Linked DNA regions of Rhinolophus ferrumequinum. The protein of the gene in region 3 interacts with the protein of the main gene of each other region in a pairwise test. Links are inferred from orthologs where the notes say so. Each region holds a gene or a part of one and is shown on either strand. Other genes may lie near its edges.

Evidence for each region.
Region 1: the proteins of CEP76 (region 3) and DZIP1L interact in binary tests that used the Homo sapiens proteins (3 or more experiments, as listed by UniProt). The link is inferred for Rhinolophus ferrumequinum from reciprocal best matches to the Homo sapiens genes CEP76 and DZIP1L.
Region 2: the proteins of CEP76 (region 3) and AKAP7 interact in a two-hybrid assay, tested with the Homo sapiens proteins (3 studies listed by BioGRID). The two-hybrid records come from large-scale screens. The link is inferred for Rhinolophus ferrumequinum from reciprocal best matches to the Homo sapiens genes CEP76 and AKAP7.

Annotation. Positions count from the first base shown.
Region 1 is NC_046300.1:37,317,684-37,324,701, forward strand, and holds the start of DZIP1L (cilium assembly protein DZIP1L), read right to left. Parts: upstream 3,040-7,018; 5' UTR 2,969-3,039; coding exon 2,966-2,968; intron 197-2,965; coding exon 1-196. UniProt on the Homo sapiens protein: Involved in primary cilium formation. Probably acts as a transition zone protein required for localization of PKD1/PC1 and PKD2/PC2 to the ciliary membrane.
Region 2 is NC_046286.1:78,641,146-78,648,569, reverse strand, and holds the start of AKAP7 (A-kinase anchoring protein 7), read right to left. Parts: upstream 3,072-7,424; 5' UTR 2,848-3,071; coding exon 2,595-2,847; intron 1-2,594. UniProt on the Homo sapiens protein: Probably targets cAMP-dependent protein kinase (PKA) to the cellular membrane or cytoskeletal structures.
Region 3 is NC_046302.1:5,540,059-5,547,856, forward strand, and holds the start of CEP76 (centrosomal protein of 76 kDa), read left to right. Parts: upstream 1-4,719; 5' UTR 4,720-5,060; coding exon 5,061-5,123; intron 5,124-6,177; coding exon 6,178-6,333; intron 6,334-7,016; exon of another isoform or gene 7,017-7,058; coding exon of another isoform or gene 7,059-7,091; intron 7,092-7,331; coding exon 7,332-7,413; intron 7,414-7,798. Other genes in the region: PSMG2 (proteasome assembly chaperone 2), read right to left, coding at 1,243-1,414, 4,413-4,469. UniProt on the Homo sapiens protein: Centrosomal protein involved in regulation of centriole duplication. Required to limit centriole duplication to once per cell cycle by preventing centriole reduplication.

The DNA.
Region 1 (7,018 bases), on a different chromosome or scaffold from region 3:
TAATGCGCCTCCAGTCCATGCTCTCATGGCGAGGCTGGAACTTGAAGGTAGGGAGTGTGTAGGCCCCAAAAAGGGAACCACTGAGGCCCTCAAAAGTGGTAGCAGGGGACTGCATGGGTGAGGGAAGCCCTGGGCTGACCACTGCAGGAGGGTGCCGCCAAGGCCACGGCAGCAAGCAAAGGAACTGAGAGAGGGCCTGGAAAAGGAGAAGAGATTCCAAATTAGGCAAGGCATGTGGGCTGCATGTACCCTACACCTGGCCAGCAACAGCCTGAGTGGGGTGAGGTGAGGGACCTGAACAACAGCTGGAGCATGCATGGTATGCACTGACATGGCCAGAGCCATGGAAAGCAAGGGCGTGGGCTTTACAATAACACAGATGTGGATTCAGATCTTCAGCCTTGGGCAAGTCCCTTCACATCTTTAAGCCTCCTAGGTACATTGGGGATCACGGGACTCACTTTGCAGGTTTGTGGTTAGCAAGGAGGCAGATGAAGCACTCGTCTAGTGCCTGGCACATTGTAGGTCCTCAGTGAACGTCCCCTTGCCCAAGTCCACGGCCAAAGGTCTTTGTCAGGGGAAAACTGTCAAATGTATAAGTAGGTCCTTCCGCAACCCTACATTGATCTCAGGATAACGTCCAACAACTTGCCATGGGTGGCACAGCCACCTAATGTTCACAACATTCCCTCCTCTCCTCCTGCAACTACAAGATCATAGGGGACAGGGGTAAGCTACATTTCCCAGTTTTCCTCACAGTAAGGTGTCATCATATGACTATGTTCTCTCTAGTGGAATGTGAGTGAAATGATGTCCAATACTGCTATTGGGGAGGGCGCAGGGAGGGGAGCAGTGGTGCTAAAGAGAGTGGCCAGGTCTCTGCACGCAGATTGGGCTCCATCCACGATGGTCTTTTTTCTCAAACCCAATCACAATTTATCCTACCAATAAACTCATACAGGTGTGCAAAGCTGCTTGTGCAAGAATTATCATTGTAGCATTGTTTGTAATAGCAAAGTATAAGAAAAAGTACCAGAAAGCAGAGAACAAAGTACAACAGGGGATATAAATGTTAGCTCTATACAATGAAATACTTTGTGGCTATTGATGAAAATAAGGCAGCTTTACATGGAATACTGATCATACATACTCATATACTCATAAACATACTTTCATTTCTGTTTAAATGATATAATATAATCACATTAATGATAACTTGTGAAAATAAAGGAGCTATGTATATCTCATATGTGTGTGTGTGTGTGTGTATATATATATATATATGTTGTGTTTCCCCCAAAATAAGACCTAGCCGGACAATCAGCTCTAATGCATCTTTTGGAGCAAAAGATGCATTAGAGCTGATTGTCCGGCTAGGTCTTATTTTCAGGGAAACACAGTATATATCTGATATCTATATCTAAATAGATATATCACATTAAAATAGTTGCCTATGAGGGAGGAGGAAAATGGGAGTAAATAAATGAATAAATGAATGGTGCATGAGTAGAAAATGGATAGCTAGAAAGAGATAGATGATAGATAGAAAGATAGATAGATAGATAGATAGATAGATAGATAGATAGATAGATAAAGATAGACAGGCCTTACACAGACCAATAATGATTATTTTATATATATATATATATATATATATATATATACACACACACACATATATATGATTCTATTTGTTATTCATGTATAATACATAATTAAATAAAATACAAACACTAAGTTGATTTTATATATATATTATATATAATATATATACATATATAATATATAATATATATATGTATATATATAGCCTCATAAGCATAGACTATGTCTAGAAAAATAAACAAGCTGTTACCAGTTACCTCTGGGAATGGGAATGGAGGTGGAGGACCTTTATCTTCCACTTTCCACTTCTCTATACCATTCGAAGATCTTTGTATCCTCATCAATTACTTTTAAATTTTTTTTAAAGAAAAAGATATAATTTCTGCCCTTGAAAAACTTAGAACATGGAGCAACAGACAGTACATGTGATGCTATTTAATCAAATTCTTTCTAGATCATGTCATTCAGATATTTAAATGCAATAGAAAGTCAGAGAAGAGAAAGGTCATTGACCTCATAAAGGAGAAAGGCCTCGAAGAAATGATGGGGCTGGGTTTGCAAAGAAGGGAAGGGCCTCCAGGAAAGGGCCTGCCCTCCCTGAGCCCTGTCTTCATTTGGGAAAGGCGGTGATAGGCCTGCCCTACCTGTCCCCCGGGTGCAGTGAGAACTGGAGGAGATACAAGGGAAAGGCACTCAGTAATAACACCAGCTGTGGTGCAGGAAGCACCAGCCTCTGTGCCAGCTACAAACTCTAAATACAAACCTACAAACAGCTCTTAGCATTCCCATTTTACAAACAACTAAACTGATGTCTGCAGAGGTTCAGTAGCTTGCCCCAGGTAGGGAGGCCAGGGTTGAAATACAGTTAGAGGTCCATCTGGCTCCAAAGCTTGTGGACTGTGAACTCCCCAATATGATCCTTGAGGCTATTAGTCCTAAAAACTTGCTTTGATCAGATCATCACCACTTATCCCTCAAACTCATTCATTCACTCACTCCCCTCTCATTTACAGCATGACTACCTGGGCCAGGCCTAGTACCAGGCACTGGGGCAACCAAGGTGTATTAACCACACACCATCCCGCCCACCCAGGAGCTCAGTGTGGCTCCTTGTTGCCACAGTACTGAGTCTAAACCCTAAGCCTGGTCTGGAAGGCTGCCCACACGATGCCACTGACCCACCTTTTCCATTTCATCTCCTATTCTTTCTTAGATACTCTTCCCCAACACATACACCAAAAACAAAACTCTCCAGCCACAAGCACCCATGGCCATAAGGAGAAGACCAGCACATTTCTACTTAACATAGTGTGTTATTGAAAAAAAAAAAAGGCAGGGTGGCAGGTGAGATGATACTCACCATGCTCAACTTCAAGCTGCAACGGTGTCACCAGAGCCTCAGAAACAATTGCCACAACAAGCCGTGTCTTGGAACAACAGCAGGTTACCAGGCATGCTGTGGGCAAGGGTAACAGGACACCTGCTTCCTGTCCTCCTGCAGACCAGGAGCTCACCTGAGAACGCACTGTTTAACTATTTAAGCTTTGGCCTGAGATGTTTGCCCACACTCCTCTCTCTAATAATCTGACTAAGAACACTCCATCAGCAGCTCTCTCGGCTCTCCTCCCAGCACTTTGAATGCTCCTGCCAGCCTCTCCCTCGAACAGTTTCCCTCCTCCTTTAAGGCAGAGTGTGCCAGTGCCCCCATGATACTGGCCCGTTCACCCATGATGCATCTCTCCCTGCACACTCTCCTCGGAGTTAACTCACACATAACCACAGCTTCAGCTTCCACAGGCTGGGCCTGAGCCACTCCCAAATCTTTCTTACTGGCCCATCTGTCTCTTGGGACCTGTAGACCAAAATTGCCATTACTGATAATACCAGGAATTACATATCCAAATTCCGATGCAGGAAACGTGCCAGGTATAAAAGAAACCACAGTATAAGCTTGATGATAAATGGCAACTGATTCTCCATCTTAGTGTCCAAAATACAATCAGGCAGCGATTCTCAAGTGTGGTCTCTGAACCAGCAGACCAGCATCACCTGGGACCTCGTGAGAAATGCAGCTCTCCAGATTTACTAATTCAGAACCACTGCTTTAGGGAGTGTTGGGACAGGCAGTGTTGGGGTGGTGGCAAAAGGGGAGTGCATGCCCTGTTTAAAAAGGACAGCCACCGATGAGCTTCAGCCATACAGGAATGAATGTGTTCCTCGGGAGCTAATTCCACAATCATTAAGAAGATATTCAAAGACCTTTATGAACTGTTTCCAAACTACCTTTCTAGCTGCATCTCCACTTACCATATTATTTGCTGTCCACCCATTCTTATGTCTGGGCTACTTATTTATAGGCACTGTTTTTAAGTGTTTTGTAAAGAATAATTTGTGTAATCCTCAGAACACCCCCTTGAGGAGATACTATTATTATCTAAGCCACAAAGAAGTGAAGAAGCTTGTCCACAGGTACAGGAGGCAGGATCCAACCCATGCAGCCTGGTTACTGAGTCTGAACTCTAAGCCACTATGCCATGCTGCCTCTTGGTGCAGAGGGCCTTCCGCCATGTCCTTTTGCTCCTACTGAAGGTGAATGCATGCTTTCAAGGATTTGCTCATACATGATCGCTACCCAAATCCCTCCCAGGCCCACAGTCATAATTCTTGCTCTTCCCCAGAGCACAGAGCATACACTCCTTTAGTCGCCCTCACCATATTCTGGTCTGATGTGGGGTAGCTGTGCAGCAATCATTCGTCTATCCCATCAACAAATGATTCATAAGCCCGTACTAAGTGCCAGGCACCGTGATTGACAGTCCTGATTAACGGTGATTCAGGCAACAGTTCCTGCAATTGTTAACAGAAAGAGTTAACAGTTCTGGAACTGTGTGCTCCACACACAGTTATAAGGCTTTACATGTATTATCTCAGTTAATTCTCACAACAACCCTGTATACGGATGAAGAAACTGAGAGATGAACAAAGAGGGTGAAATTACTTTCCAAAATTACACAACTAGTAAGTGATGGTGTCTGGCTCCACAGTTGGTTCTCCAGAAAGACAGAAAAATACACAGAAAGTGCACAAAATACACAGAAAAGTACACAGAAAGGACGAGGTGCTATGGGAGCACTAAGAAGAGGCCATAACAGGACATTTCTGTCTCCTTTTTCCCCACTCCCCCTCTCTCTCTGTGAGGTCCACAAGGGCTGAGACCTTGGCTTATTCACATCTGTTGTACTCCAGCCCCTAGCATATTACATGCAGCCCAGATTTCTATTGAACTGAGCAGAATTGCCAAAATCTTAGAATATCTGCCTCACATTTCTACATTCTTGGGGTCTTGGAGAAATGAGGCTATGAAGAGCAAGAATTAAGTTATAGAATAAGAATGGAGTTAGGAGTCCTTCATTTGGACTCCTGGGAGAGAAATGACATTCAGACTTAGTAAAATGGTTGATTTGTTGACCATCTATGTCCAGAGCTTAATTCCATGTGCCACTAATGAAAGCTTAGAGTGCAGGAGCCCTCGTGGGTGGTTTTCAGTGAGAAGCCCCGGTGCCCACACTCGCTGTCAAGTTGTGGTCACAGCGTTCTAGCTTGCTGCCTGAGCAGCCCTAAAACCCTCACGTTGACACTGAGCACAGTCTCTTAATACCGAGGGTCACAGCCCCAGTCCCAGCTATACAGAATTCTGAATTAGGGGTCTGATTTCATGAGGTTTTACTGAGCCCCAAAAGTATCATTCCTGTCTCCCACTGGAACCCCAAAGGTCTGATTCTCAGGAGTCCTACCATTCTGACATCAAAAGGTGAGCAGAACTGTGGGGATTTGATGAGTATGACAATGACAGCAGCCATCATTTATTAAGTATCTATGTGCCAGGCACGGTGCCAGCCTTAAAAAGTACTATTTCTAGTTGTCATACAGCAGGGTATGTAGCTTTGATTTGCCTCATCTGAAAAAAATGTAAAAATTGAGGCTCAGAAAAGCTAAGGGACCTTCCCCAAGTCACTCAGCTACTACGTATGAAACCAAGATTCAAATCAAATTCTGACTCCAAAGCTTTTGAATTATGCCAAACTACCTTCCAATGATCATGATGAAAATACATAAATTATTTCCCATTATAAAAATTACAGTACCTGAGATTTCTTGACCAAACTGCACGAACTGAGAGAGTTTAGAGCAAATCACAACAGGATCAGAGCTGGAGGCCTTCAATTCTCCTTGTATCTCAGCAGACTCAACTCAGCAGCTTGTAACCAGATTAGGAAGGGCAGAAGACAAAGCCAGATGAGAATGCTGCAAGTTACCTAGAAACCACACACCCAGGAGGGCAGGAACACCCTGCCTTCTCCAGAATGAATTAGCAGCAGACTGTTTTTCCCATCTGGGAATAGGAACACAGGCAGAAATGACTCACTGTCATTAGGAAATCTGAAGCTGTGTTAGCCACCCCTAAATGTTTCAATGGGGTCCAGGAAACTTCCCAATCCTAGACCAAGGTCATAAGTTAATGGGAGCCAAAAGAACGATATTTATGCTAGCATTCCAAAATCACTTCATGGGTGAAGAGATCGTTTCTACCTAGGGCAATCCTATAGCCAAGAGAGGAAGCCCATCTACCATCCTAGCTTTGCATATTCCCAGTGATGGGGTGTCCACCACCTCTCAAGGCAGTCATCCCACTGTGAAGCAATTCCTGGAGACTTTATGGTTCTGAAACCTGCCCACCTATAATCTGTCAAAGATAACTTCCACAAAATATACCAAATAGCCGATTTTTAAACAAAATTCTGGCTGACTTTTTAATATAAATTGACAGCTAGAGTACACTACTACCGCTGCCATCTTCCGGTCTCTTCTGCTTCTTCAAGAATGAAGCCAAGAGAAGCACACAGAGAGAAACAAGCTTCCAAGGCTTCTGCCAGGCAATCATTTACAAGCCTGCCCTGGCTCCCAACTAATTTCAGTGGTGCCTGCCCCAGGGAGCTCAGGCATGTCATTAGTGCTAATTGTTGTGGCTGCCAAGGTAACCTTCACACAGTTTGCAAACAGGCTGTGCACACACCACAGGCAAGGGAGCGGGGGAGACCCCAACGGAGATGAGCGCGACCCAGGAGCTCTTCCGGGGCACTGCCGTTACTTCTCTGATTCTCTGACTTCTCAGACTCTCCGTTACTTCTCAGACTTCTCTGATTCTGTTGTTTTCTAAAGGGAGGAGTCCGCCTTTCCACTCTTTCTTTCCCTTCGTGGGAGCTGCCCCCACTTCCAGAACAGAGAGAGAGAGAGAGATCTACCCCACTAGGCACACAGCTCTCCCTTATAGCTGGCCTCCATTCCCAGAAACTTTAAGGAGATATTTTTAAAAGACAGTGTCCACAGTTTGGTCAAAACCTATTTTAAGTTT
Region 2 (7,424 bases), on a different chromosome or scaffold from region 3:
GCGGGTCATCCTATAGAGAGAGCAATGTTTCTCAACAGGGTTCAAATCTAGAAGCCTTCCTCCAATTCCCTAAGCTTTAGTGTTTGGGCAAAGGCTAACAGACATGAATCAAACACATCCATCACAACTACACGTTCTCTTACAGACGGTATAAATATTTTCCTTTTGGAAAACTGCCTAAAATAACTGACCCTAAAATAAAGCCTTTATACGATAAGTTGACTGTTTTGAGTACTTAAATTCTGGTCTAACCATAGTTAAAATAAAATAAAATTCTTTTGTACAAATCCAAATAAAAGTAATGCTGTTAAGTGCACTAATAACAAAGATGAGGTGAAATTGGCAAACTACTACTACTACTACTAACAGCAGCTAACATTTGAGCATGTACTACATACTAGGCACAGCCAGCAGCACTTTACAAATAGTAACTCATTTAATCCACACAACCATGCTATCAGGGATGTACTATTATTTTACTGATTTTACAGACTAGCCACTTAAGTAACTTGCCCAAGGCTACAGCTAGGTCTTGGGGCTAGCATTTAAATCCAGTTGCTCTACCACCAAAACCTGTTCTTTCAAGCAACATGCCCTACTGCCTCTTAACATACACAGTTTATAGCGCTGTAAATTGAGGTAACCCTTTCAGAAGGCAGTGTGGCAAAAGATCAGGAGCCATGAAAATGTTCTTCTCACTGATATATCTGGGTATCTATCACATATGTCAACATAGACTCAACACAGCTTTATTTAAAGAAAAAAGAAAAAGTGGAACAGCTTAAATGCCTAAATAGGGAAATGGTTACACAAAGCATACTCACTCTAATGACAACAAATAATAATGGCTATGCAGACTGCAACAACAACAAAATAGTTTGTAATATTAGCTTTTTAAAAAGCAAAGATAATACTGCATATACTCTATGATTACAATTACATAGGAAAAGCCTAAAAGATATAAATTATTTCTAAATGCTGACATAGCTGTATTCAGTATATTTGCATGTTTCCACTTTCCACTATTCAAATGTTTTAAATAGAACTAATATTACTTTTATAAGAAAACAATTAATGCATACATTTAAAATATATTATAAAACTATACATTAAGTATACACTAATATTCAAATATAAATGCACTCCAGCAAAGGACTTCATCGTAGACAGGCCAATAGAGGAAAAAAGGATAGATGGTTTGCTCTTTGTCACACAAAATGCAAGTTTCCTGTTTGGATAGTAAAATAAGGAAGACTCTTCACTCTACTAGGTATATATAGTCCTTCGGAATCAATAGAAAGGGTCAATACCATCCATGCTAGACCTGGCTTACTGACTAAAAATAGTAGCATCTTACATCTGGGTAAATGCGGAGAGCTGTGTGATAATCAACAAGTTGCTTAAACCCCATGCTTTAGTTTCCTCATCATAAAAAGAAAACAAAGTATAATCCAAATTAAGAGAGAAATGGACAAAATAAGTTAATATTTGAAAACAAATGTAAGGAAACAGTAATCTGGAAAAACATCTTAAGGTTTGTTAATATGAATAAGGAAAAGACCCAGATATGCTACCGGTATCTCAAAAACTCAAATCCTCTGAACCCACCCAGAACGCCTTATCATTTCATCCCCATGATAACGGTAAACGTATCTGCACTAACAGCTCCTACTGTGTTTCCCCGAAAATAAGACCTAGCAGGACCATCAGTTCTAATGCGTCTTTTGAAACAAAAATTATAGTAAAATAAGACCGGCTCTTATATAATATATAGTAAAATAACACTGGGTATAACAATATAATAATACAATACAATATAATATACTACCGGGTCTTATATAAGACTGGGACTTATATTAATTTTTGCTCCAAAAGATGCATTAGAGCTGATTATCCAACTGGATCTTATTTTTGGGGAAACAGGGTTCAATATACTACAATTGAACATTTTAATACTTTTTCTAGTTTTTGTTTTTTGTTTTGCGTTTATACTATAAAGACCACAAAGAAGAGCACTTTTTCTCTGATTAGCTTTCGGTCCCTTTCACCGAAAGTCCATCTCCTAACACGCTCTGTGCAAAGTTCAGTTCACAGTAAATGCTGATCTAAGTTGTAAATTAATTCTGGGCCCTACTACGGATTTGGCGCCAGATTAGTAAGGTTATTTCTACACCTAGAATGAAATCCTAAACGAAAAGTGTCAGGTCTACAATGTTTGTGACATAGGAAAAAAAATAGAGCTTTCCTGGGTTTTGATGACCACACACCGTCGGAGGTCGTGCGCTGACCTGAAGTCTGTGCTAAGGGTCACAAGATCAGAAAGCGAGAATTAAAACTGAAACTTAGGCTGGGTTCACACCCCTCTTCCCGTCGCAACAACAGTGCGTGCACTGATCACACCCGGTTGCACTGGGTTCTTCGGTGCAAAGGTGAGATCCGTTAAGATGGAAAAAGAGACTTGGGGGCGGGCGAGGGGTCGCGTTCCCCGCGCTGGGAACGCCGGCAGGAGCCCTCCCAGAAGCCGGGAGCTGAGCAAGACGCACGCCCCCCGGCTCCTGTCTCCCCACCCGGCCCGCTCCGCAGCCCCCGCTCACCCGCTCCGGGGTGCTCCATGGTTCTGGCGCTAGCGGGTGACAGGTCTCGGCTGGCAGCGGAGGCGGCAGCCCCGCGCAGCGGCCAGGGGCGGGGCGCCAGGCGGAGGCGGAGGCGGAGGCCGGGGCGGGGCCGGGATCCGACGAGCAGCGCGCGGGGCCGAAGGACGCGGCCGACGGCTGCGGCTCCGTTCGTGGCGCCTGGACCCGCGTAGGCCCCGAGCCGCAGAAGCCGCAGTCCCCGCTGGAGCTGCATGTCCAGGCCCGGCGCCTAGGACGAGCGGAAGGGGCCGCCCCGAAACGCCGCTGGTATCCGGATTCGGGCTGCGCGAAGGAGTGGAGAGGGGTGGGGAGCCGTGACCCCGGCGCCGTGGAGAGCGAGGGCTCCTCTCCGCCCCACAGTGCTCGGTTCCCGCCTCCGCCCTGCAGCGGGGCGGCCCCCTGAGGCCTTGGCTGCCCTCAGTTATTTCCCGTGGCTCCGCGTTTCCAGTCCCAAGCCTTGAAGGGTGAGATTGGGACCCAGCTGAAAGCATTTCCTGGCCTAGGATCTCCTGGGGATCTTTGTGTTTAGTTTTGCAGAGAGCTTTCAAAACACAGAGTTCTGCTTTCAAAATATTTGGAAAGAGCGAGTAGTACAGGAACGACACCTTGGTCATTTGTAGTTAGATATTTATTTTGCTTTTTAATTTTTAAGTCAAATTGCAGCAGTCACACATTTTTAACAGTGGTTTCATGCCTACAGCTTAAATGGAACCAGCTACTAGTTATTGCAAATGAAAGCACTGGTTGTGAATGAAATGGAATAAAAAGCAATTTAATTATTTTTTTTAAAAAAAAAACCTTTTGACCTTGGAACAGAAATCTACTGAATTTTTCTTTTAAGTACAAAGAAACCATGCACTAAGAAAATTAGGTGGGTGCATTACTCAAATTAATCTAGCCTCTATTTTTGAATAATGACGCTTGGCTTATCTTGAATGCATCCTAGAATGCAAATGGAGGCAAAGACGGCAGCACAACCACAATATTCATACACAAGAAGTCATAAAGCTTGTTACTCTCACATTAAAATAATTCTAGCAAGTTGAGTATTTGATTTGCACACCCATAGCAATTATGGACTGATTAGAGAGGTACAATAGATTCCCTTAATTATTTAATGCCTGAGCTCCCTCCTGAGGTTGAGCAGGTGAATAAGAGAGGTCTTTTTCTCAAGGAATTGATCACCTAATAGAGAAAGAAACATAAATAACTGCAATAAATAATAAACTAAAAGCTGCAAAAAGTAATCCACATTAATATCGAAAGGGATCAGAATATGCCCCCCAAAACACGCCACTTCTACATAAGGATTATTTTGAGTTGAAGGCAATTGAGAAACAGCAGAAACAGAATGCTCTGCCTTCCCCTTTTGGCCTAAAAGCAGGCCATAAATTTCCCTTTGTAAAGGTGACAAATTTCCATAACTTATCTGTATATCAAACCTTGCTAAACAATACTTACCATGTATTTCCTAGTCACTATCTGAAAGCAGAGACTGTTTTAACATCTTCATATTCCCAAGTGATTAGAGGTTACTCAGTGAAGAGTTGTTAAATGAATAAAACTCTCATAAGTATCAGATATGTCAAAAGTACAGATTTGTCAAAAAGAAATAAAAAGAAAGCAATACACCCAAACAAGTTTTTTAAAAAAGAAATAATATCGTGAGTAATCTTACCATGTTTCCCCAAAAATAAGACCTAGCCGGACAATCAGCTCTAATGCGTCTTTTGGAGCAAAAATTAATATAAGACTCAGTATTATTTTATATTATACCCAATCTTATAGTAAAATAAGACGCAGTCTTATATTTTTTTGTGTATTAATTTTTCCTCCAAAAGACGCATTATTGCTGATTGTCCAGCTATGTCTTATTTTCGGAGAAACATGATAACGTCCTAAAGCTTCACCAGCCTGAAGCGAAGAATTAGGTGATATTAACATTAATATCTAAATTTTATAGATAAATCTACTTGCTCATGCCAGAGCTCCAGACCCTTGTGAAATCCCCCCAAAATACATGTGGGGTTCCAAATGGTATCTGACATTACTAATGAATCATTCCAGGTTGTCACTATCCCCAGTCTTTGAGCTCCCCTGGTCCAGTCTCCTTTCCAGGAAGTCTGCTGCCCTCTTCAGACATCAGCTGATTGGTGGATTACTTGGCCATGATGGATCCTCTCAGTCCTCAGGATAACAACTCTTGCAAACTAGAAGACCAATTCCTCCCCAGTGGATTACATTCTGCCTAAGGGCTAGGGCAGGGTGGGTGATGTCACAGATTATTTGGACTTCTAAGAGTGACAGAATTCATTGAGATAGCATGTTCCGTTACACACAACAGCACTATTTCTCCCAGGAGGACAATGTACCCTGCCAAGGTGAGTGGATTGAAAGTTTTAAAAAACAAAATTCAACTGAGTAAATTTTAAACATCTTATTGGGTTTATTAAATGATTCATGAATTGATCGGCATCCAATCTGGCAGATAGAAAGGAGCTCTGAGGAGCTGTACAAAACGAAAGATTTATAGGCAGCAGGGAGCAGGAAAGGAACTATCAAAGAGAGACATACAGTAAAAGACAAAAACCGATTGAGTAATATTGGGAGTATAAAGTTAAAGATGAAGGCATTGATCTTAGGAGAGACAGGAGGGAAGCAAGTTGGAATAGATGGATCCTGATAAGTGTTTGGATGGGGTCTTGGTTAAGACAGCTACTTTATAAAGGTGTCAGTATTCTTGAGGAAAACAGGTGAAGTCATTTGCTGGGAGAAGAAGACACTGAGGGAAGAATCTTGGTGATTCGAAGATTTTATAGATGTACAAAATAGGTCATAGATCATTGAAACTATGGGTTTGGATGAGGTTGCCCAGGGAAAATGTGTGGATGTAGAAAATTAGGCAACTATGAATTAGCGAACACTTTCACCATCTTTGTGATGACAATCTGAATCATTTTTTTTCTTGTGCACTTCATCAGCTGCCTGAATTATTACATACTTACTACGTTTCTTCCATTCTGAGTAAGAATAAGAAATAATCACAGTAAGAACATTTTCATAAAGAGCATGATTATTTTTCTTCAAACAAAGGATCAACTTATAATGAGGTATATGCTAGTTTGTATCATTACTCAGAAGATAACGGTGTTCTTAAACTGTTTTGAGATAATCTCTGTTTTTACACACTGAAGTAGTTAGTGCTCCTTACCGCGTTTTGGGCAAATGCCAAATTGAAAGATTTAGGTTTAACAACTCTAATTAGGCTTCCTGAATTTGATTAGTCCTGGGGATTAGTTTTTCATTTGATAGTTTATCTTACAAGATTCCTAAGCTCAAAACCGTATGTTTCCTTCGTTAGTTTTTGTATCATATACATCATGTAAGCTATCATTATACTTTCCAATAGACCATTCTATATTAATGGTTCGTTGTTTTGTTACTCTCTTGTCAGATTTTTTGAATACTAAAAGAGAAGTATTAAGAGCTATGTGAAATTCCACTTTCTGAGTTATCAGGGCTGTATATTATAATTTGTTGGTTTCATTGTCCTCAATGTGCTAGAAAATATTGATGCAAGTTGTCGTTAAATTTCTTATTGTCCATTTTAAATGCATGTCATAATTCTTTCATTCAGGGAGAATACTGACCCACATATATTAATAGGGTATTAATATCTGGGTTAGTAGATTTCACGTCTTTTCAAATTTCGTATTATTGTGTATTTGACTTAAGTATTCCTTGGTTTTTAGTTCTGTAATTGATATTTGATATTTCAAACAATATCACACAAGACTTCACTGGCAAGACTACCCTTGTTTGCATGCCAATCAGAGTATAACTGATAATTACAATATGAGGTTTTCTTTGAGTAATGTAAGAATCCGGTGACAAAAGAAATGGAAAAAAAACAGCAAAAGTTGAAAAGTTTCGGAAAGGAATAGAATCAGAATTAAAGGAAATTTGAGTCTATTCTCCCTTACACAGTAAAGAATTTCCTTACAGTTATCAATGTGAATACATTCGCTACTTAACAGCTCTTTGCCTAATATTCTGTAGTTTAAATTCAGAGTATCTTTCATTGTCTATTGATCTAGCTATAAAATGAAAGAAAGCCAAAATAATTATAACAAAATGCAAAAATTCCTTCATCATTAGATATCAACTTCCCAAGATCCTCTGACTCTTTCAATCTTCATCACTTTGTAGAAACATAGTGTATTTTATTAGACATAATTTCTATATATAAATAAACAACAGTTTATGTCACTTCTATTTAATATTTTTTCAAATAGCTATTGTTATATATAACATAATTTACAGTATATTATGTTTTGTTGTATTATACCATCATTACTTAAACTGTCCCTAGATCTTGGTCCTTTTGGTTATGTTTACCTTTCCAGTCAAATATACTTACACATATACTGGGATTCTTTTTCTTTTTTTTTGGTGTTATTTTCTTGATGCATACATCAAAAGTAAATTTACCAAATTAAGAGAAACTTGTTTAATTTTTATGGCTTTTTAAAGTAGTATATCAGATTGATCTACAGGAAAATTAAGTAGTAGTGTAAAAGGCATCTCCTCCCCCAAAGCCCTCGCTTTGGATTTATTATTCACTTGGTACATTCTAATTGTTCATGGTTCTATTTCTTAAATCATCACAAATGCTGAAATGTTTCTAACGGTCAAATATGTATCAAGTGCCTAATATATTGCCAAGAATTCACTGGGCCTAACAAATAGGCATGATTGTGCACAGGCAGCATGGAGGAGTGCTTACGAGCA
Region 3 (7,798 bases):
AAATTGGGCCAATGTGAATATGGACAAGGTATAGAAAGCTAATATTGTGAAATGTGATATTTTAGCTATGTAAGAAAATGTTCTTAAATGATAAGTGATACATACTTACACATTTGGAGGTGAAGTGTCATGATATCTACAATTTATTTCAAAATATCTCATCTTAAAAAAGAATAAAATGGATTAAAGAACTATACCAATTGACGTGCTGTCAGTTTGTGTTAATGGAAATCCACTGGGTCTTCCACTAGAGTGAAGCTGCATTAGCAGGGGGCATGGTGCTTAAGAGGCAGGTCTCAAGGGCCAGAGTGCCTTGATTAGAAGTTCAGTTACACCAATTATTAATCATGTGACCTTAACTTCTCTGTGCAATGGTTGCCTCATCTATAAAACTACCTACGGAGTATTTGTGAGGATTAAATTAGTACATGTAAATACACATAGTATTCAACTTATAGGTAATAATAAATGGCAACTGTTATCATTAGTTGAAATATATAAATTGTAGTGCTAATATTTTTAGTCCTTTATTCTTTAAGGCAATAACTGAAATTCCATCTTTTATTAATAAAGCCATCTTTCCTGCAGAAATTTCAATATTATTTCTTGAAAGTGTATTTCATTATCACAAGCTAACAACATGGTTAATAAGACAGACAAAAAACAAAATACTTCTTTGTCTTTCAATCCACCACTAAATGGTTTTTCACGCTCCTCTATCACCTGCATGAATGGTTTTTCATGCTCCTCTATCAGCTCTGGCTATGACCTTAAAATGGTGAAAGAAGACTAAGGCCAACAGAGGAGTTGGCCATCAAACAAAGCAACTAGCTGCTCATGATCAACAGCTTTCCCCTTACTCAGCAATTCCACATTATAAATAAACAGTAATCAGTGCAATATAAAATGTGTTCCAATTAATCAAGCCTGATAGTCCAATGAGAATTATGGCACTTTATGGCATGGGAAAAGCCTACACTACAGCATTAGGCAACTCAATCTCTCCAAGCACTACTGATACTACAGTATCGTGGATTCCATAATAATGTGAGAGGATGACTGAAGCTTAGATGAGGTAGCACAAAACACATAGGACTGAGCTCAGTGAAATTCTCTTTTCCCCTTCCCTGGTATTAGTGATGCTTACCCATGTTTGCTACAAAAGCGTATCTGCAGAGTCTATGTCTAATTTAAAACAACTCTACTTTGTAGTAGAATACAATATACGGAGGTCATACATACCTTCAGCATTTATACTGAGTTCTGTTGAATTTTCTTCTGACGTTGCATATGGATTGTTTCCAACCATTGGCACAAGACAATCAGTATAGAAGTAACCAATCTTACACATATTCAGTGTAGAAATAATCAGATCTATTGCAAGTTGGCCAACATTTCCAACGGATACTGCTGGCTGAAATCATTTTAAAGAGTGTTTATTAAGGCATTGGCATTAGCAGCACTTTAAAGTTTGGACAGAAGACAATAATCACAGCACTAGTATTGAATGTTATGTTCAGGCGCATCATAGCTACCCTGTTTTCCTGAAAATAAGACCTAGCCGGACAATCAGCTCTAATGCGTCTTTCAGAGCAAAAATACAGTAGTACCTTGGTTTTCAAACACTGACGAACATTTCGGTTTATGAACGCCGTAAACCCAGAAGCAAATGCTTCAGTTTTTGAACATGCCTTGAAAGTTGAACATGTCACGCAGCTTCCGCTGAGTGCAACATCCTGAGGCCTAGCTGTTGGCTGTTTTCGAACGTTTCAGAACTCCAACGGTCTTCCAGAGCGATCACATTCAAAAACCGAGGTACCGCTGTATGAGATCCGGTACCTCGGATCTCATATCCTATCATATCATATCCTATCATATCATATCTGGTCTTATATTATAGTAAAATAAGGCCAGGTTTTATATCAATTTTTGCTCCAAAAGACACGTTAGAGCTGATTGTCCAGTTAGATCTTATTTTCAGGGAAACATGGTACATATTGACTCTCCTGTAGTTGCAAGCAAGGTACCAGCAGGGACCTCCTCCACCTTTGAGACTACAGATTTAACACTTACTGAACACCTACTATATGTCAATCGTTGCTCTAGGCACTGGGAATGTAAATCAAAAGTTCCTGCCTTTGTAAAGCTTCCATTCTAGGGAGAGTAGTTTACCTGCAGTAAACAAACAAACAAAAAAAAACCCCAGTAAAATATACAGTGTTAAGTGCAGTGGAGAAAAATTAAAGGACTGTCAGTGTGTGTGTATATGTTTGGCTGCAATTTTAAATAGGGTGGTCAAGAAAAGAATTGCTTTATAGACCTGAAAGAGATAAAGGAGGGCAGTGAGGTAGGAACAAAAGTGATGTTGGGGCCTCTTTCTGTTTGCTTTATTAGCGCCTAAATGTTGGAGTGAGCTTATTTTCACACTAAAAACACCACACACACACACACACACACCCCATGACTTCAAATAGTCCAACTGCCAAATCTGTAGCTACAGCCTGGAATACTCATCTAAACTCCAGAGCCTAATGTGTATCTCCACATGATTATGTCACAGGTAACTCACATCCAACATGTACAAAATTAAACTTTTGCCCAAAATTGTCCTCATATTTTGTATTTCAGAAAAGAGAAACAATTATTGAGCCAATTACCTAAACCAGGACACTTTTTCCTTTTCCTTTACCAACCATACCTAACGCACATCTAAATTTTATTGATTCTATTTTTTTTTCCTGGCCTTTGCATACTTTTCTGCGTCCTTCAGAGTGGTCTCCCACTTCTCATTGCTGTCATTGATTGCTGGTTATCCACTGTAATCCCCTTTCCCTTCTCAACGATTTTGCTACTTTCGTTAGATCCTCACTTTCCTGTATCATCTATCTTTTCCTCACTACTGGATTCTTCCCATCAGCATATACACATACTCTAATATCTTTCCTTGTAAAAAACCGTCTCTTGATCCCACACACTCCCCTAGCTACCACCTCACTTCCAGGTGTCCTTCCATAGCCAAAATTCCCCACGGTTGTCCACTAAAACATAAGCAGGAACTTTAGCTCTGAATTAATGAACAAATATATACGTATACACGTCTCCACCTCTTCCCCATTTATTCAACCCACTTTAATATGCTTCCCTCTTCACTGTTCCACTGATAACTTTTTTAAGGTTACCACCAATAATCTTTTAGACATTACTTTCTCTATGAAGCTTTTCTTTTTCATTTTTTTCTCCAGGTAGCTCCTGCAAAGGTACTTTTTCCATTTTGAGATTAATAAATATTTTTCAGGGAGATACTGTGAAATTATGGAAAATTCCCTTCCTCAAACACTATCGCACACTAATTTTGGCATTCATTGATATTTCATGCATTACAATGAAAACGGACCAAAAGTCATTTTTCTATTACCATCATTCTTTTTTGACATATAACACTGTATCACTTTTAGATACATAACATGATTGATATATGTATATACTGTGAAATGATTACCACAATAAGTTTAGTTAATATCCATCACCACAGTTACAATTTCTTATTGTGATAAAAACTTTTAATATCTACTCTCTTAGCAAACTGAAGGTTTGTACCTTTTGACTACTTCACCCATTTCACCCAACCACCCTTCCACTCTACCTCTCCAATTGTTCTCTGTAATCTATGAGTTTGGTGTTTTTTTCTTTCTTTCTATTTTTTTTTTTCTTTCTTTCTATTTTTTTTTTTTTTAAGATTCCACATATGACGCTTTGAACAGAGCCATGTGTCCCTCCCCCAATAAGTCCTAAGGCCTTTCTGTATCTTTTTAAAACTTCTATCCTAGCATATATTGCCTTTATTGATTTACGTGTTTCCTATTAGACTGTAAACTCTTTGAGAACATGGGCCTAGTGTTATTCTAATATCGTCACATCATAGAATGTTTATTGAAACAATGAATTAATATGGACAATTTTAAGAGCGATAGAACCATATGTTAGCTACTGGCAAAAGTTGCCTTGTTACTCTATTGTAATGTTCTGGTTAATGACTGACTTGCTAGCTTAAGAATGACGCTAAAACTAGTTGAAAAAAGATTTTCTAGTATAAAAAGCAAAGAGAACGTCCCGCACCACATATGTACAACGTATCGGTAACATCAAACACATTACGTTGTACAGTCAACAAAGACCACAAACTGGAGACTTAGATACAAGGTTTGGTGATAGCGCCAACAAAGGTTCTATTTGGACCGCCGCCTCCAGCGACAACCTCTCTACATTTTCGGCGCAGGCTTAAAACTCGAAATAGAAACAAGTACTCGCTTTCTCACAGGGCCGGACGAAAAATCCCGAGTTGGGGTGGCGGTACCGCAGGCGCCTCCCGAGAGGTAGCAGCCTCAAGCCAGTTCGCGAAATTGGAGACTCACCATCAGGAGGGTGAAACCCGCGAGATCCGGGACCGACTCTCCGTAGGGAACAAACATGGTCGCACTGCAGTGGGAAGAAGGAGATGAGTGCCGGCCTGGGAAGAACCGGGGCGGCGAGAAAGCGAGAACCACGAGCTCTCAAGGTCTGCACGCTCGAGCCCCTAGAACCCCGCGCGACCCGGGCAGGGCGGGGCCAGGCGGACTGGGTCCTTCGAGCCCTCGGCGCGAGGTCCTGAGAGGCTCGTCCACGTATCTGCCGTTCCAGAAAACAGAAAGGGACCTCGAGGGAGGGAGAAATGGGAGCGGAGAGCGCGCATCCAGAGACACTAGCAAGGCAAGGAGTTTGGCTGAGCTGAGGTCACGAGGTGGGGACCCCGAGGGAAGAGGAGTGGGTGGAGTTGACCAGGCAGAGCGGGGGACAGCTCCGAGGCCTGGTTGTCCGCTGCCGTTTGAAAACGACAGTTGGGCGCCGCCGCAGCCACGTCCCCGCCTCACGCTCAGCGCCGGGCTTGATGCGGCGTCGCGCCCCCGCGGGAGCTGCGCGAGGAAAGTGGTCGCGCCGGCTCTGTGCTCACCCCACACTGACGTTCTGGGGCCGGCTGGGGCACCTGAAGCGAAGGGAATCCGTGTTGAGGCGCCAGCCCCAGCATGTCGCTGCCTCCGGAGAAAGCCTCTGAGCTGAAGCAGCTTATCCACCAGCAGCTGAGCAAGGTGAGGGGCCGCGGGCGCTCTTCCCGCCAGTGGCCCCAAGTGTCCAGCTTTGTGTCCCTTGTCCCGGCCGACTGTGGCACCTGTTTGCTGGGGACTCAAGCAAAGGCTGTGAGACGCAGAGCGTGGGATGTGCAAAGCTTCGGGTTTGAAGCCAGAGGAACTGTCTAGGCTCGATAATGAGAACGAGCTCAGAAAGTGCTAGTAAGAGTCTGAGGTGATAGAACGGCGTTAGTATTATGGGACAGTTGTGAAAATGAAGCGTGTACCAATGACTTCTGGAAGTCATATCGAGTATAAGTTGTGTTTGGAGCAGGTTTATATTCAAAGGTCAGAAATTAGAATTAATTTAAGGGTGGAACTTCAGGTGTCATTGATATTGAACCAAATTGACAATTCTTAAAGAAGTTATGAAAGAATTTAGTAAGGATTTGTAATGAAAGCATTTGTGATACTTCAGAGCTCAAGAAGAACATTGTATCTTTGAGGTGCTCAACTGAATGCAATTAAGCTGAAGTAATAAAACCTACCGTTTATTGTGCACTCGGATGCCAGGCTTTGTACTAAGTGTTTAGCGTCTTTTATCTGAGCCTCACAATAACCTTGACGGCACTATTTTTTCCAGATTCATAAAAGGTAAATAAGTTAACTCAAGATCACATCTAATAAGTTGTAAGGTGAAAGTCATACTTTGATCCCCTCCCCTCGGTCTGTGTTCTTTTGATTATACTATACTCTTTCTCCAAAGATTGTTTTGGTTGAATGTTATTTGTGGGGAAATAGTAACAAAAGTAGTAGATAACCAGTAGAGATTATTTCTAGAATTTGTAGTATAAGTTTTCATTTAAAAAAATTTTTTTTCCTTTTAAAAATCTCGCCTTTATTATCTTTGAATTCTGGTAACAATTTTACATTTATTATTTGTTTGAGAAGCCTTCCCGATTTTAGTGTACTCTCCTATTATTCTTTTCTTTGTCAGTATTTTAGAAAGAAATGAACTAAGTGGCAATATTTGTCTGCTTTGTAATGTGAATTGTAATGTGAGTTTTCTACGTAGATGGATGTCCATGGCAGAATAAGAGAAATCCTTGCTGAGACAATACGGGAAGAATTAGCACCTGATCAACAACAGTTATCAACAGAAGATTTGATCAAAGCTCTTAGACGTCGTGGAATCATTGACGATGTGATGAAAGAACTTAATTTTGTTACTGTGAGTAAGCTTGTAGAGGAGAAAATCTGAGAGTCTAAGCATATTTTGGGGCCTCTTCTTTTAGTAAAACCACTTCAAAATATGGTAGCTTTGCCTAGTAATATCCTTGTTTCAAGTATAAACTAATTCTACAATTGAATGTAGATTCAATGTAGGATTATGTATCAATGAAATTGTACATATATACCATTCTTCTCTCTCTACAGTGACAGAATTTTCTCCTGTTATTCTCTAAGTCTGTAACTTTAAGTATATATATTTTAGTCAAACATAACCTAGTTGTTTTTCACTAATATTCTATAATTTTAAAAATTAGGCTTATTTTTAAAATAAACACTCGGGACAATATTATCTATGATTAAGAAATTATCAATTCCTTTAAGAAAATAATTGTCTGCATAAGAATCTTTAAAGCTTTTCAGACAAATAGGTCAGTAATGGAATGATAGCCTCCCTCTCAGTGTACAAATTAGTAAGTAGGCCTTTTGAAAATGAGGCAATAATGAGAAATTGTGACCTCAATACCTGGGAAATATAATGTAGAATTTGGATGGACTTCATAGTACACCAGGGGATAAGTATTTTAATACAGCCTCGTTTTTTTGGTTTTTGAGGTTTGTAAACCCATTTGGTATAAAAATTGACCTAATAACAGTTTCTGCTGTGTGTGAATATCACTTCCTTATTAAAATCAGTTCATGGTACAATCATAAGCCAAATGTTATATGAGGTTTAGAGAAAGTTTGACCTTGTTTGAGGTATTAAGGATTTTTTTTTAGCATTCTGTGGACATTGCTTGAAGACAGTTTAGTTCCTTAACATTAAACTGTAGGACTGACTAGTTGCATCACCTTTTTTGCAGGCTTTTCATTATTTGAACTGTTTGAGGAAAATAAGGGGCTTTATTCTATCTTCTTTTGGTTTGGTTCTTAGTTCCATTATTGGCATTTCTTAATTATAATTTTTGTTTTCTGATTTGTATTTTTCTGCCTTTCTAGGACAGTGTTGATCAAGAACTTCCTTCCTCTCCAAAACAATCAGTTTGTTTTACTGATAAACAATCAACGTTGTTAAAAAAAAGTATGTGTATTTCTTTTTAACCTTAATTTACTTGTGGATAGTACTGTGAATAGACGTGCTGTAGTGTTTGGTATTTGATAGAAAACACTTCAATTTTTTTTTCCAGAATGAAATACTTATATTTTTGTGACTAATCCAAAAAGCTTCAATTCTGTTTTGCATGATATCAGAAGATTTAATGTATAGCAAAGTGGAAGCAAAAATAGGACCGCCTGTTTCTCATGTTTTAGTAATATATTTTATAAAAATTTTACAACTGTGTTTTTTTAGTGGCTATGTAATTATCTCACAAGTACACTTTGCTGAGTTGAGATAATTGAGTTGGTTTGTGGAGGTGAAGGAATGGATAGTTGGATAGCAACTAAAGAGCAAAGTTATCCTAAAC